Cricetulus griseus: one gene and its partner. The protein of the gene in region 1 purifies or fractionates together with the protein of each later gene. This does not show direct contact. Links are inferred from orthologs where the notes say so. Each region holds a gene or a part of one and is shown in the gene's direction. Other genes may lie near its edges.

Evidence for each region.
Region 2: the proteins of Gsk3a (region 1) and Nbr1 purify together in Homo sapiens (affinity purification with western blotting; 3 studies listed by BioGRID and IntAct, with this or other methods). This does not show direct contact. The link is inferred for Cricetulus griseus from reciprocal best matches to the Homo sapiens genes GSK3A and NBR1.

Annotation. Positions count from the first base shown.
Region 1 is NC_048602.1:9,984,647-9,992,080, reverse strand, and holds the start of Gsk3a (glycogen synthase kinase-3 alpha), read left to right. Parts: upstream 1-2,544; 5' UTR 2,545-2,654; coding exon 2,655-2,937; intron 2,938-3,108; coding exon 3,109-3,288; intron 3,289-4,553; coding exon 4,554-4,741; intron 4,742-6,499; coding exon 6,500-6,583; intron 6,584-6,737; coding exon 6,738-6,848; intron 6,849-7,434. UniProt on the Homo sapiens protein: Constitutively active protein kinase that acts as a negative regulator in the hormonal control of glucose homeostasis, Wnt signaling and regulation of transcription factors and microtubules, by phosphorylating and inactivating glycogen synthase (GYS1 or GYS2), CTNNB1/beta-catenin, APC and AXIN1.
Region 2 is NC_048600.1:114,591,878-114,598,046, forward strand, and holds the start of Nbr1 (next to BRCA1 gene 1 protein), read left to right. Parts: upstream 1-1,870; 5' UTR 1,871-2,274; intron 2,275-2,476; exon of another isoform or gene 2,477-2,628; intron 2,629-6,061; 5' UTR 6,062-6,127; intron 6,128-6,169. UniProt on the Homo sapiens protein: Ubiquitin-binding autophagy adapter that participates in different processes including host defense or intracellular homeostasis.

The DNA of each region.
Region 1 (7,434 bases):
CTTCAGTGTCGTGCTTCACCTAGTCAGGCTGCTTGGAAACCGTCTTAATGTCTCATTCTCTCACAGGTATCTCTTGAGCTTTCTCCATCATGCCCCAAACAATGGCTTTCCGATGCCTGTGGCTTATCAAAGACTTCTTTCATGCAGACATCTCTAGGACCCCCTTAGACACTTGGAGACATTTTACAGCTCTTCTCTGACATTCGCCCTCCAAGTGCCCCACGGAGATTAATGCAAAGACCGGCCGTCTGCTCAGGTCATACCGGCTCCGGCGGTTAAGTAATGGGTTCTGTGCTGACACACACACACACACACACACACACACACACAACACACACACACACCACACACACACACACACACACACACACACACACACACACACACACACACACACACACACACCACACACCACTCACACCACACCATTCACACACCAAACACAGACACACAGACAACACACACAGACACACACAGAGACAGACAGACACACACACACAGACACACACAGACACACAGACACACACACCAAACACACACACCACTCACACCACACACACACACACAGACACACACACCAAACACACACACAGACAGACACACACACACAGACACACACAGACACACACACCAAACACACACACAGACAGACACACACAGACACACGTGAGACTTCTTGGTCCTCCTATGCCTTGGGGCTTGACTTAAATTTTACTTTTCAACTCCGAGCAGCCGTCAGAGGGCGGCAGCCGTCCGTTTGGCTGTGCTGCACCGGAACCGCCCTCTCCAGTCGAGCGAGCGAGCGTGAAGCTTTGCAAAGTGGGCGGAAGGACCTGCGCTTTGCCTTCTGGATAACGTAGTCTGAAGGAGAGAGAGAGACGGAGACAGAGACAGAGAGAGAGAGAGGAGAGGGAGAGAGACAGAGAAGAGAGAGAGACAGAGAGAGGGAGGAGGAGGAGACAGAGAGAGGGGGGAGGAGGAGAGAGAGAGGGATTCCCAGTATCGTTTGGGATACGAGTTCAGGACATAAGTTGTCTCATTTATTATTATTATTATTATTTTTTAGTCGTGCAGCTCGTCCTCTTGGCTGTAACCACGTTGTCAGAGAGAGGGAGAGAGAGAGAGACAGGGAGAGAGAGGGAGAGAGAGAGAGGGGGAGGGAGAGGGAGGGAGAGAGAGAGGGAGTGACAGAGAGAGGAAGAGACGGAGAGAGAGAGAGGGAGAGAGAGGGGGAGAGAGAGGGGGAGAGAGACAGAGAGAGGGAGAGAGACAGAGAAAGAAGAGGGGGAGAGACAGAGAGAGAGGAGAGGGAGAGAGAGACAGAGAGAGAGAGGAGAGGGAGAGAGAGGGAGAGAGACAGAGAGACAGAGGGAGACAGAGAGAGAGTCCCCGAAAACAAGCGTTGGGACCCGCGGTCGGTCGGTCGGTCGGGCCGGGACTGTTCGTGAAACCCTTGGAGGATTCAGGGAGGAAACGTGTTTCTCTTCCCAATCTGTGGCCCTCGAGGGACTGGCTCCTTTTCCCAGCAGTGGCTGATGGGCTGAGGACCAGGGAGGAGACATTGTAACTCCTAATAGTTTCCCCCCGGGAACTCTCGTCCTTAACCTTTCACCTCCACTGCCAGCCACAGCACTCCCTTTGGACTACGTTTCCCAAGAAGCCCTGCACCTAGCTTCACAAAGAGTCAGATTCCACTGTGGACTCTTCCCAGCATGCCTCTGGCTGCTGGTCGCTCCCATCCCCTTCCTCAAAGATGAGGCTGTCTTGAACTTCATTTCCCAGAAGACACCAGGCTGGCTGAAGCACCGCGCTTAACTCTTGGTGTCGACTACATTTCCCGGAAGGAACTGCGGCGCAGCTAACTGGACAGAGAGAGCGCGATGCCCGCTCCATTTCCTATCCTACCTCTTCCAGTTACAGTATCTACTTGGGGTTTGAGGACCACCTGAGTCTTTTCCTAGCGTGCTTTACAAAACGCTCTACACCTGCAATGCGGTGAGGGCGTGGTGACGACTCCATTTCCCAGTGTGCTTCACAGATCAAGAACCGAGGGTGCACGAGTGCGGACTCAATCTCCCAGAAGGCACCCGGCACAGGAAGTCACCGACCAGCCCATGGGAGTGGATGGGTGACTGGACTCCATTTCCCAGAATGCTTCAGGGTTGGAGGCCGCTCCGGGATGGAGGGGCTAGGATTTCATTTCTGATAGCCTCTGGGGCTTGCTGTTGCATCTGTGTAATGAGCGTCTTGCCCTGAATGTGGCTTCCGAAGTATTTTAGAGTTGCCTTTGGTCAGGGTCGGGTGACATTATCCAGGACTCTACTTCCCGACGTGCAGCGCGAACCGTATTTCCCCCCCACCCCTTTTCCCTCTGTCCCCCCTCCCCGCCCCCCTCCCCCCCCGTCAGCTACTCTGAGGTCTTGAGAACTCCATTTCCCGGCGTGCTGTGCGAGTCCGAGGGTGGCGACAACGAAGCCGACGGCAGAGGGACTTCATCTCCCGGCGTGCCCCGCGGCGGGCGCTGGGCCGGAGCCGGAGCCCGAACGGCGCGGCCTGGAAGAGGCCGGAGCCCAGGGGAGGCGGCGGCAGAGGCGGCGGCGGCAGGGGCAGCCCAGGCAGCCCGAGCCCGCGGCCCTGGGCCTGCGCTCGGCGCCATGAGTGGCGGCGGGCCTTCGGGAGGCGGCCCTGGGAGCTCGGGCCGGGCGCGGACCAGCTCGTTCGCGGAGCCAGGCGGCGGAGGCGGAGGCGGTGGAGGCGGCCCCGGGGGCTCGGCCTCCGGCCCGGGAGGCAGTGGCGGCGGGAAGGCGTCAGTCGGGGCTATGGGTGGGGGCGTGGGCGCCTCGGGCTCCGGGGGTGGCCCCAGCGGCAGCGGCGGAGGCGGCAGCGCTGGCGCCGGCGCGGGCACTAGCTTCCCGCCGCCCGGAGTGAAGCTGGGCCGTGAGTACTTAGGGGCGCCCCGTGGGGTGGTGGTGGCGGCGGTGGCGGCGGCGATCGGGGTCCCCCAAGCCCGGCAAACGGCGGCGGCCAGGCTTTCTTTGGTATTTTTTTTTTATTATTATTTTTTATTTTTATTTTCTATTTTTTTTTTCTCTTTTCCCCGGGACCCAGATAGAAAGAAGCAGCTTGAGGTTCACCGTGCTGTTTCACACCGGGATCTGGGCTCTCGGGGCTCCCGGATAAAGGAGTTGGGGGGCTCCCATCCCTTGGAGTTTAGAATCAGAATTACCAGCATCCGAGAAGCAGAGGTCACAGGCCCCATTCTTCCAGTATCCAGTATCAAGGTCCCGGGTACTTGACGACGCTGCCATGCACTAGGGAACAGGATCAGAGGTCATAGTTACTTGCCAGTGGTGATCTAGGATCATTGTCCCCTAAGAGACAAGAATAAAAAAGATCACTGCCACCGTCCTATACGGAAAAGGGGGCGGGGGGGGGGCACTGGTTTCCTTTCCATCAGAAATGGGGATTTGGATGGAATGTCTCTTTTAGAAGTGCAGACTTAGGATTACTGATGTTCCCACAGAGCAGGGCCAGGCTTGAAATATAAGGCCTGACATGACCACCTTACCCATCGAAAATGTGTAGACTTGTGTCCCCAATGCTGACAGCGAGTTATCATTGCTGTTTGTAAATGACAGCAGATTGGGAATAGCAATGAGCTTCAAATCAAACAGTGTTCTTTTTAAAAAGAAAAAAATGGGGGGGGGGGCGGGGCTGGTTAGCCAAAAAATAGAATGGGGTGGCCTGGGTCACACCTACTATAAAATACGGGTTTGAAGTGGCCGTCTTTGGCTCTGGGGAAAAAAAAAAAAAAAAAAAAAGCAATGTAGGATTATTTTTCAAAATGTCATACACTGCCCCCTCCCAACTGGAATTTGTTGATAAGTTTTCGGAAGGTGACTGGGAATGGCACTAAGAATATCCCACACATCCCAATCAGTGCAGTGTTAGGTAAGAGCAACAGCAACCCCCACCCCTAGCAACAAGTGAGGGTCAGGGCACTGTCAGTTAGCCCCGTTCATTTCCGTCACTCAGGAGCAGTGGCAATGGTCCTTGATCTGCCAGGGAGGATTTAGAAGTTAGTGCCCTCAGACTGTGAGAATGGCCAGAGTTTTCTGGAAGAACGAACACCTCATAGTTTCTGCTCCTTTGAGTGGAAGATGGTACCTTGTGGTGGCCCTGCAGAAGGGGCCAAAGGCCGGGGAGCCCGGTGCGGCTGGGTTATGCACCGAGGGTGTTGATGGTCCCCCACCACCAAGTGACTTGCTGTTGTTTGCTAAAAGGAGAAAGTGGGTACTTACACATTAATGGAAATAAGTTTGCATGTCCGTGCCCTCCAATATGGGAAGCAGAATGTAGGGTTCCTTGGAGGGAGGCTCCGGGTTACTGGAGTAGCTAAGCTCCCCTCCCTGTCCTCAGGTATTGAACTCAAGGTGTGTGCCAGACAGTACTCTGTCACCAAGTAATCACTGTCCCTTCACCCACAGTGAGTTTTTTGAACAGCTTTCCCTCCCTGGGAAAGGTCAGTAGATTGTATTCCCTTTGTTCCTTAGGTGACAGCGGGAAGGTGACCACAGTGGTAGCCACTCTAGGCCAAGGCCCAGAGCGTTCCCAAGAGGTGGCTTACACTGACATCAAAGTGATTGGCAATGGCTCATTTGGAGTCGTGTACCAGGCACGGCTGGCAGAGACAAGGGAACTAGTGGCCATCAAGAAGGTTCTTCAGGACAAAAGGTTCAAGGTACCTTGAGTGGACTGGCGGTTTGGGGACTGGGAGTGACTGCTGTTTGTGTCCAGCAATAGGACTAGTATCTGGAATTTAATGTTCTTACTATTATTTATTAATGTGTGCATGTGTATGATGTATGTGTGTGCCATGATGCATATACGGAGGCCAGGCAACTGTTGGGAGTTGGTTCTCCTACCACCCTGGAATCTGGGGATTGAACCCAGGTCATCGGTCTTGCATGGCAAGCACTTCTATGGACTGATGTGTCTCACCAGCCTGAGCCCAGGATTTCAGCGGGACCTGAGCATGGGCCTCAGGAGAGAGGGAATTCCGGTGAAGTGAACTGGGGGAAATGTAAATTTCAGAAGAGCTGAGAGCTAATGTTTACTGGGCATTTCCTTGGTGTTAAGTGCTTGACAGGCAAGTTCTAATTTAATTGACCTGAAGCATCTCTGAGGGCAGGACCTGCTGCTATTCCTGCTCTATGTCAGCAGAAATGAGGCTGCATGGTAAGGGCCCCTTCGGGGGAAGGCTCTGGCCTGTAGACTCGGAAGTCCCTCTCCTCAACCACTTGGTCACATCTCTTCCAGAAGAAAAGGTCAGATAAGGCTGATGATGATGGTGGCTCTGAAGGACGTGCTCTTCCCCAGGCGTCAGCCAGTGCTCAATGTAATCGAGCCCTGACGGTGCTCATTTGAGCCCCTTGCCTTGTGCAGGGCAGGGCTGCCTCCAGAGGATAGGGTGCTCTGTGAGCTGCAGAGGCCTGGGGAACTAAGTAGCAGGAGAGAGGAGGGGGGTGCACGGAGGACTGTACCAGACCCGACGGGTAAGCGGGGCTGGGCAGTGAGGGCTCTTGGACAGGAGCAGCTCTGGGGTGTCAGTCAGACCTTGGTGGAGCTGAACTGCAGAGCTGGGGCGGATCTGAGAAGGGTTCTGATGCCCTGGGTGGGACCAGACAGTGGGAAGAGGCCCAGGCACGGAGGGGAAGGTGAGGTTGGAAGGTGCTGAGTTGTGAGTCCCCAGCACTTCCAGGGAAGGTGGCGTGTTGAGTTGTGAGTCCCCAGCACTTCCAGGGAAGGTGGCGTGTTGAGTTGTGAGTCCCCAGCACGTCCAGGGAAGGTGGTGGAGGGGGACGGGGGTCAGGGAGAAGCAGACAGCCACTGCTCTCTGCTGCTGCTGCTTTTGCCTGTGTCTGGTGTGACGTTTCCGTGGTCTGATTTCTTTAGTTTTGTAGTATGTGGGATGGAACCCAGAAGTTGTGTGTGCTGTGCGAGCGCTCTACCACTGAGCTAGCTAGATCCCTAGCATCCTTCTTTGTATTTTGACACAGAGCTGCCCCATGGTGCTCTGACTGTCCTTGAATTTGAGGTCCTCCTGCCTTAGCCTTCCAAATTGCTGAGATCTTAGACCAGCACCAGGCCTAGCTTCAGTAAATTCTTCAAGAGATGCGGAGGGTGGGCTTTATGAAGAAACTAACTGACCTTTACATGTCAGCAGTAGTTAGAGAACTTCTAAAAAGCAGCTTGAAGTAAACACACTGGTGGCCCAGGACTAACTGGCCCATAGGCTGTAGCTTGTGTGTGAGGGGAAGGGGCCAGAGGTTGAAGTGAAGAACTAATTTTCTTCTCCCTGCCCCAGGCCTTGCAGCCTTGAGTTTGGGGCACAAGGGACAGCTGCCTGCTTTCTTAGCAGAGATAGATGGAGGGTGAGGTGACGGTGCTGGGCGGGGGAGGCGGGATTGTGTGTATTGAGACTCCTTTTGCCCTGCAGAACCGAGAGCTGCAGATTATGCGTAAGCTGGACCACTGCAATATCGTGAGGCTGCGGTACTTTTTCTACTCCAGTGGCGAGAAGGTGAGATGCTGGAATCTGAGGGGTAGGGGTGTAGCCACACTCGGATGCTATCCATCTTCCCGCCCTCTTTCCCACGAGGTCCTTCTGCTCCTCACTGGTCTCTGCACACCTTCCCTCTTAGCTTACAAGGTCTCTTCTCCCCTTTGCCCTCCAGAAAGATGAGCTGTATTTAAACCTGGTGCTGGAGTATGTGCCCGAGACGGTGTACCGGGTGGCCCGGCACTTTACCAAGGCCAAGCTGATTATCCCTATCATCTATGTCAAGGTATGTAGGCAGGCTGCTGGAGCACAGGCCCACAAAAGCAGGGGCCCTGGGGCTACCTGTGTCTAAGGTTTCCTTCATCTTTGAATTTAGGTTGGTCTCTGGAGGCCTATGTTCCCTGTCTTCAGCCTTGTAGCTTGCAGATGGGTTTGGCTAAGTCCAGGGAGGGCCAAGGCAAGGGCTTGCCAAGGAGGTGGCAAAGGGGTTGGGGTTAGGTGGGAAAGCTAGAGTGGCAGGAAGGTGTGCCCACACAGAAGAGCCAGGCAGGCTCTCCCCAGATCGCCTGTGGGTCTGTTGGTGGCTTCAGCACCTTGTGCCCTGATAAGCTGTTGCTAATGTGGGCTGTGCCTGTGGCTGCCTGCTGCTGCTGCTGGGCCATCCACACTGGGAGGACAGTTCGGCAGTTGCGAGCTGTACTATGGCTGCTTCTATGCTCAGCCAGTGCTGAGCAGTTCCAGAGGCACAGCTGACTGAAGGCCAGGCCTTGCCCATGGAGAGCTGGGCATGGTGGTACACACCTTGTGTCCCAGCACTCAGGAGGCAGAGGCAGAGGCAGGAGGATCTCTGACTTTAAGACCATCCTGGTCTA
Region 2 (6,169 bases), on another chromosome or scaffold:
GTCTTTCACCCACCCGCCATGGCGGACGGCTAGAAAAGACGGCTCCTTGGGTCTCCCAAAAGATCTTATAGGGCAGCGTAAGGGGAGTGTCTAGGGGTACGCACAGGCTTACGCACAGGCTCATGATTGGTGTGCTTCCAGGCTTGGAGGGCTTGCCCTGTGTTGATTGGTCAACTGGTTGTTATGGCTCATAGGCCCTCCCAGGGTGGTTGCTATGCTCTCTACGTCATTGTCGTGCGCTTGTCCGTAAAGCACACCCAGGGTCGTAAAGTGCCACCAGGTAACTTCTGATTGGCTCCTTGTCACAAGGCATCTGACCTTTTAGTGACTAAGGTTCCTTGTCACGAGACAGGCATCTGACCTCTAATTGACCAAGGCAGGTTTATGGCAAGCACGTGTTCGGCTGTTATGGCTGCCAAAAGGGAAGCCGGTTCCTTCAGCTGATGGAAGCAGAGACAGACATCCACAGATATACACTGAGCTGAAATCGGGAATTTAGTTGAAGAGAGGGAGGAATGAAGAAGGAAGGGGTCTGTACCAGGTTGGAGAAACCCACAGGAACAATTGGCCTGAACAAGGGAGAGCACATCGACCCCAGATGCTGTCGGGGAGGCCAGTACAAGACTGATCCAGACCCCTGAACATGGATGTCAATAAGGAGGCCTCTGCACTCCAGGGAGCCTCTGGTGGTGGATTAGTATTTTTCCCTGGTGCAAGAAGGGACTTTGAGAGCCCATCCCACGTGAAGGGTTACACTCTGGCCCTGGACACATGGGGAAGGGCCCAGGACCAGCACAGGAAGATTTGGTGGACTTTGCAGAGCCCCTGTTGAGGGCCCTACCCTGCCTGGGGAGTGGTGGGTGGATGGGGTGGGGGTAGGCTGGGGGTGGGGGAGGAGGGATGGGGTGAGGGGAGGGAGAGGGAGAAGGGACTTACATGTGAAACAAGCTTGTTCCCTAACTAGAACTAATAAATAAATAAATAAATTAAAAAAAAACAAAACTAAAACCAAAACAAACAAATGGAAAGAAACGCACTTTTTTTTTAAGTCACCAAATGCAAACACTAACACACTAACACTGCTGACGCTTCTCCACCCTCCCCCTTCTGGCACTTAGCCTCAAGGCAGTCTTTGAACAAGTACCCCTGCCGACAGCATTCATTACTACTATTGGCATTCCTTTGCGTGAAATATACATGGATTTCCCTGCCACACTTCCGCCCTCCTTTCCTCTCATCCTTCAGCCACCATGCTTACACTGCCTTCTCGGCACGACCACAGCCAGGACGCCCCTTCTTTCCTCCCTAGCCTTCTTCCGCACAGCTGCACCCCCCAGGAGTCCTTTCAGTTTGGTCCCGCCCCGGGCATTCTCCTACCTGGTAAACACCTGTCTCCGCCTGCAGTTTCCCGCCCTTCACTCGACTACCGCTAGGTTCCTCAGAGCTGTCTCACCTTCACCCCGAGCAAAACGTCCGTGCTCCCCAGCCCCTTGGCCCAAATCCCGGGAAAGCCGCTCGGAAAGCACTAGGTCCCGCCGCGGCACCGGCGCCCGCCGCGCAGCCGCAATGACAATTTATCTGTAATTCCCGCGCTCCCGGTCGCCTAGGAAACCGGCCGCTTGGCGGCTAGCGCCGGCCTCTAGGAACACAAGATCCAGACACGTCAGCGGAAGGGAGAGGAAAAAAAAGAGGTGGACACTCTTTCCGGGCTCAGGATTGGCCACCTGGTCTCTCCTTGTGTGTCGTAACTAGAAAGAGACGGAAGAGAAAGAATTTTGAGTTTCCTATTAGGCAGCCGCCCCCTCGCATCTACGCTTGCTTATTACGTCACAGTAATTGTGTACAAAGGGTCGGGATCGCTACCCAAGGCCGGAAGATGAGCGCAAGGTAGTGAACAAAGCAGTTGCAGAGTCCTCATCCCTCCCTTAGTCTTCCTGCCATGGAAGTCTCCAGTTTAGGTAAAGAAAGGATTATGTAAAAAGAACTACCAATTCCAGCATGCATTGCGGGACGAAAGGACTTCTCCACCGCGTCCCTTGGAAACTGTAGTCTTAAGGGAGAGGCGCTTCCAACACCGGAAGCTGGCGCGATTACCACAACAACCTAGTTAGTACGGCGGAAACCTCCTCGCGGTTATGCAGGTCAGCTGCAGTACATCGCAGCGTTCTGTTTTCATGTCTTGCTCACAGAGACTAGACTGAAAGAAGCTGCAAGTCCCAGGAATACTACAATTCCCATCCAGCCCCGCGATTCTCGGGTAACTAGTTCTCCAAGGTCAGTGACCTCAGGGAAAGCAGAGGGCGGCCAATGGGCTCGGGAACGGGAAATCCGCTCCGCTGACATCTACGCACTAGTTCCGCCCCTCGGCCTGGGTGTTTGTTATTGTTGTGCGGTTCAGACAGCTTCTGTCCCGCCCCTGCCGACGCAGCATTGGCCAATCGGTGCAGCGGTGGTTTTGAGGGACAAATAGTTAGAACCAATCGTTTTGTCGGAAACTCAGAGAAACATGGGACTGGGCCCGGTCTCTGTCCGCCATGTTAGATTCACCCCGCAGGGATAGCAGCCGAGCTGGCAGCGAACGGTCCTTGCACTGGCCACGGGCAAGCGCCCCCCGGGGGCGGAAAGCTGGTAAGGAGGCCGCCGCTGTTACCTACGAGTGGGGTCACGTCGTTCTTAGAGGTCTCGGGGAAGTTCAAGGAGAATCTTGAAAAGAGCAGTGACTTTTTTCCGTGTTCAGGGCAGCCAGTCCTTTCAGGGACCAGATGAGAGAGCCGCTTGGGTTGTCAGCGACAGTGGGGTGTGGATTCTGCTTGAGGGAGAGTCTTCATGGCTTAGAAAGGCCAGTTTCTGCTAAGAGAAAGTCGAAATCCCCCAGTACCAAAAGAGGGGCCTCCGGTGGTGGTGACACTCACTGTCCCGGGGACATGGAGTTCCAGGAAACGATTGCTGGAAGACTAGGACTAAGTGTGTGAGAAGAAGGGACACACATCTTCCTCATTCTGAGCTTTCCTCTTTTTGAGACTCTATTGAAGGTATCTTGATCTAGAACCTTCCGTGTTTAGAGAGGCATCGTTTTCCCTTTTTGTCAAGCACCCAGCTTTCAGATCACCCATTTTAAAGCTTAGGCGGCTTTAAACCTCTGGTAGACACAATAGAGTTCAGATTCCGAGATTCCCTATATTAATATTATTTGTCGACGTTGGAAAAACATCCTATGGGGAAAAGCTGACTTTGTCACATGAGTGTGAGTCAATGAGGCATGCGTTTACAGTGCCACTTAGGAAAGCTGCAGGCTTAGGCCCGGCCACCTGACCGCTGGCTGCAAAACAATAGGTAATATGTGGGGTTAACTGTACCTTTGATATTTTCACAAGTTCAACATTAATGTTCTGCCTGAAAGAATTTTCACACGTAAGTCACAGTGAGGTCCGGCCTTTATGAAGACCTGAATATTGGCTAGATAAACTAGACTCTCGCTTCCTGTTTTCTCACATTGACAGAGCAGCTGGATGAACTCCAAAGTATGGAAACTAATTCCCACTCCTGTCATTTGAGAACAGGGAAGATTAGTTTCCTTCCAGACAGAACTGTGTGGAAGTGTATTTCTTGAAGTTGGAAAGTGCGAGTGTATTTGGGAATTTTTTCTTTTTTAATTATCTTTATTTTGTGTGCATTGGTGTTTGGAACTGGAGTCACAGTTATGAGAAGCCATGTGGATGCTAGGAATTGAACCCGGGTCCTCTGGAAGAGCAGTCAGCGTTCTTAACCACTGAGTCATCTCTCCAGCCCAACCTCAGAATTTTTTCTTTTGGCAAACTCAGTCACTTCATTTTCCTTATTAAAAACAAACAAAAACAAACAAACAAACAAACAAACAAAAACCTAGGGTTGGTGGGATTCTGCCTAAATTTTAAAGATCCTAAGGAAGAATTGCATTTTGGGTAAATGTATGAATGCAGGATGTCCACAGGATTGATGCTAGAGACTATAGCTTTGACAGTGAACTTAACTCTAGATGAAGACAAGTCATGGAAAAAATTGGATAATTGAGTCTCTAAAATAATCTGTGATTAAGAATACTAGGTTCTTGGGTGGCAGTGACACATGCCTTTAATCCCAGCACTTGGGAGTCAGAGGCAGGCAGATCTGTGAGTTTGAGGCCAGCCTGGTGTACAAGAGCTAGTTCCAAGACAGTCTCCAAAGCCACAGAGAAACCCTGTCTTGAAAAACCAAAAAAAAAAAAAAAAAAAAAAGTACAAGGTTCTTAAAATGACAGTTGTACAGTTGTATCCACAGTGCTGAACTCTGGAGGCAGATGCGGACAATTCTCTGGTCTACATACATAGCAATCCCCAGGCCAGCATGGGCTACAGAGTGAAACCCTGTCTCTCTCCACCCAAAACAAAGTTATAATAGCAAGGTAGAAGCTATCTTAAGGACCTAAGGAATTGTTTCTTATGGTAATAATTTTCATATTTGAATACTATTTGAAAGAATCCTACATACTTTGTGGTACTGGAAATGGCCCCTTATCTTTGCACATATGTGGACTGGTTCCTTACTCCCTGTCCCTAGACCAAGGTTTTATTAGATCCCTTTGATAACATTGTTACTGTCAGCAGAATAGTCTTTGTTTTACATATTAAATGAGTGAAGCTCAAAGATAAACAGTCTTGCTCACAGTTGCACAGCCAATCTTGTGGTGGAGCTGTATCTGGGACCCAAGTGTTTGCACCCTATTGGCTCCCTTCTTTGACATTGGAAACATCTAGGACTCAAGTTCATTTCTTGTTTGTTGACCCGAATATGGCTCTTTCTACATGCAGATTGAAAATGAGATGAATATTTTAAGAGGTGACATTTTTTTGCCAGTGTCTATTGCTTGTAGCTTTAAACAACTTACACTATTTTTTTCCTAAAGTCACAGTTAACCAGTAAGCAAAGTCTTTCCTTAAATCAAATAGGTTGTTTTTTTTGGGGTGGGGGTGTTTCAAGACAGGGTTTCTCTGTGTAACAGCCTTGGCTGTCCTGGAACTGGCATTGTACACCAGGCTGGCTTCGAACTCACAGAGATCATGCCTGCCTCTGCCTCCCAAGCACTGGTATTACAGATGTGTGCCACCACTGCCCGGCTAAAATCAAATGGATTTTAACAATAGGCATTTGATTAAAAAATTGCCAGCATCTTAGGCATGATCATGATGGGTTTTTTCATTTTTCTCATTTTATAAGTATTTATGGAAGAAAGGGTGAATATTTTGTCAAGAGAGACATAGAGCAAGGTTGTTGCATGGTGGTAGAGTACCTTCCTAGCTTCCAAGCCCCTTTGTCATCTGCTCAACACACACACACACACACACACACACTCTCTCTCTCTCTCCCTCTCTCCCTCTCTCTCTTACACTAGAAAGGAAGGAATACTGACTAACAAAATTAGCTCCTAGTTGCTAATTGTGGAAGCTGATAGGTCCATGAGGACTCCTTGTGTTACATTCTTTAATTTTGTATAGCTTTTTCCACAAGTAATAGAAGTTTGTTGTTGTTGTTGTTTGGGGTTTGGGTTTTGGGGGGCATTGGTGTTTTTGTTTGTTTGCTTGCTTGTTTTCTGTAGACAAGTGCTCATTGTAGCCCAGACTGTTCTTGAACTGACTACCTAAAACTGCTTCTGTTGCTGCTCCCAGAGTGCAGACACCTTGTCTCTGTTCTCTATCTTGTTGGCTTGTGCTACAGATAACAACCAAACACTGGAAAATGCAGAGAAAACCTTATAGACTTAAGGTAGGGGAGTGTCTGTAGATATGTCCAAAATGTGGATTGTTTGTTTTCAAGACAGGGTTTCTCTGTGGCTTTAGAGTCTGTTCTGGAACTAGCTCTTGTAGACTAGGCTGGCCTTGAACTCACACAGATCTGCCTGCCTCTGCCTCCCGAGTGCTGAGATTAAAGGCATGCGCCATCAACACCCAGCACAAATGTGGATTTTTATTACATTTTTATCATGAGACTTTTATCTTCCCTCCCTGCTCTACACCTCTTTTAAAGACAGGGTTTCCTTGTTTTCTAGACTGGCCTAGACTCTTGGACTCCAACTACCATCCTGCTTCAACTTCTTGAGTAACTGAGACTACAGGTGTGTGACAATGTGCATTTTTTTTCTTTCTTTCTTTCCTTT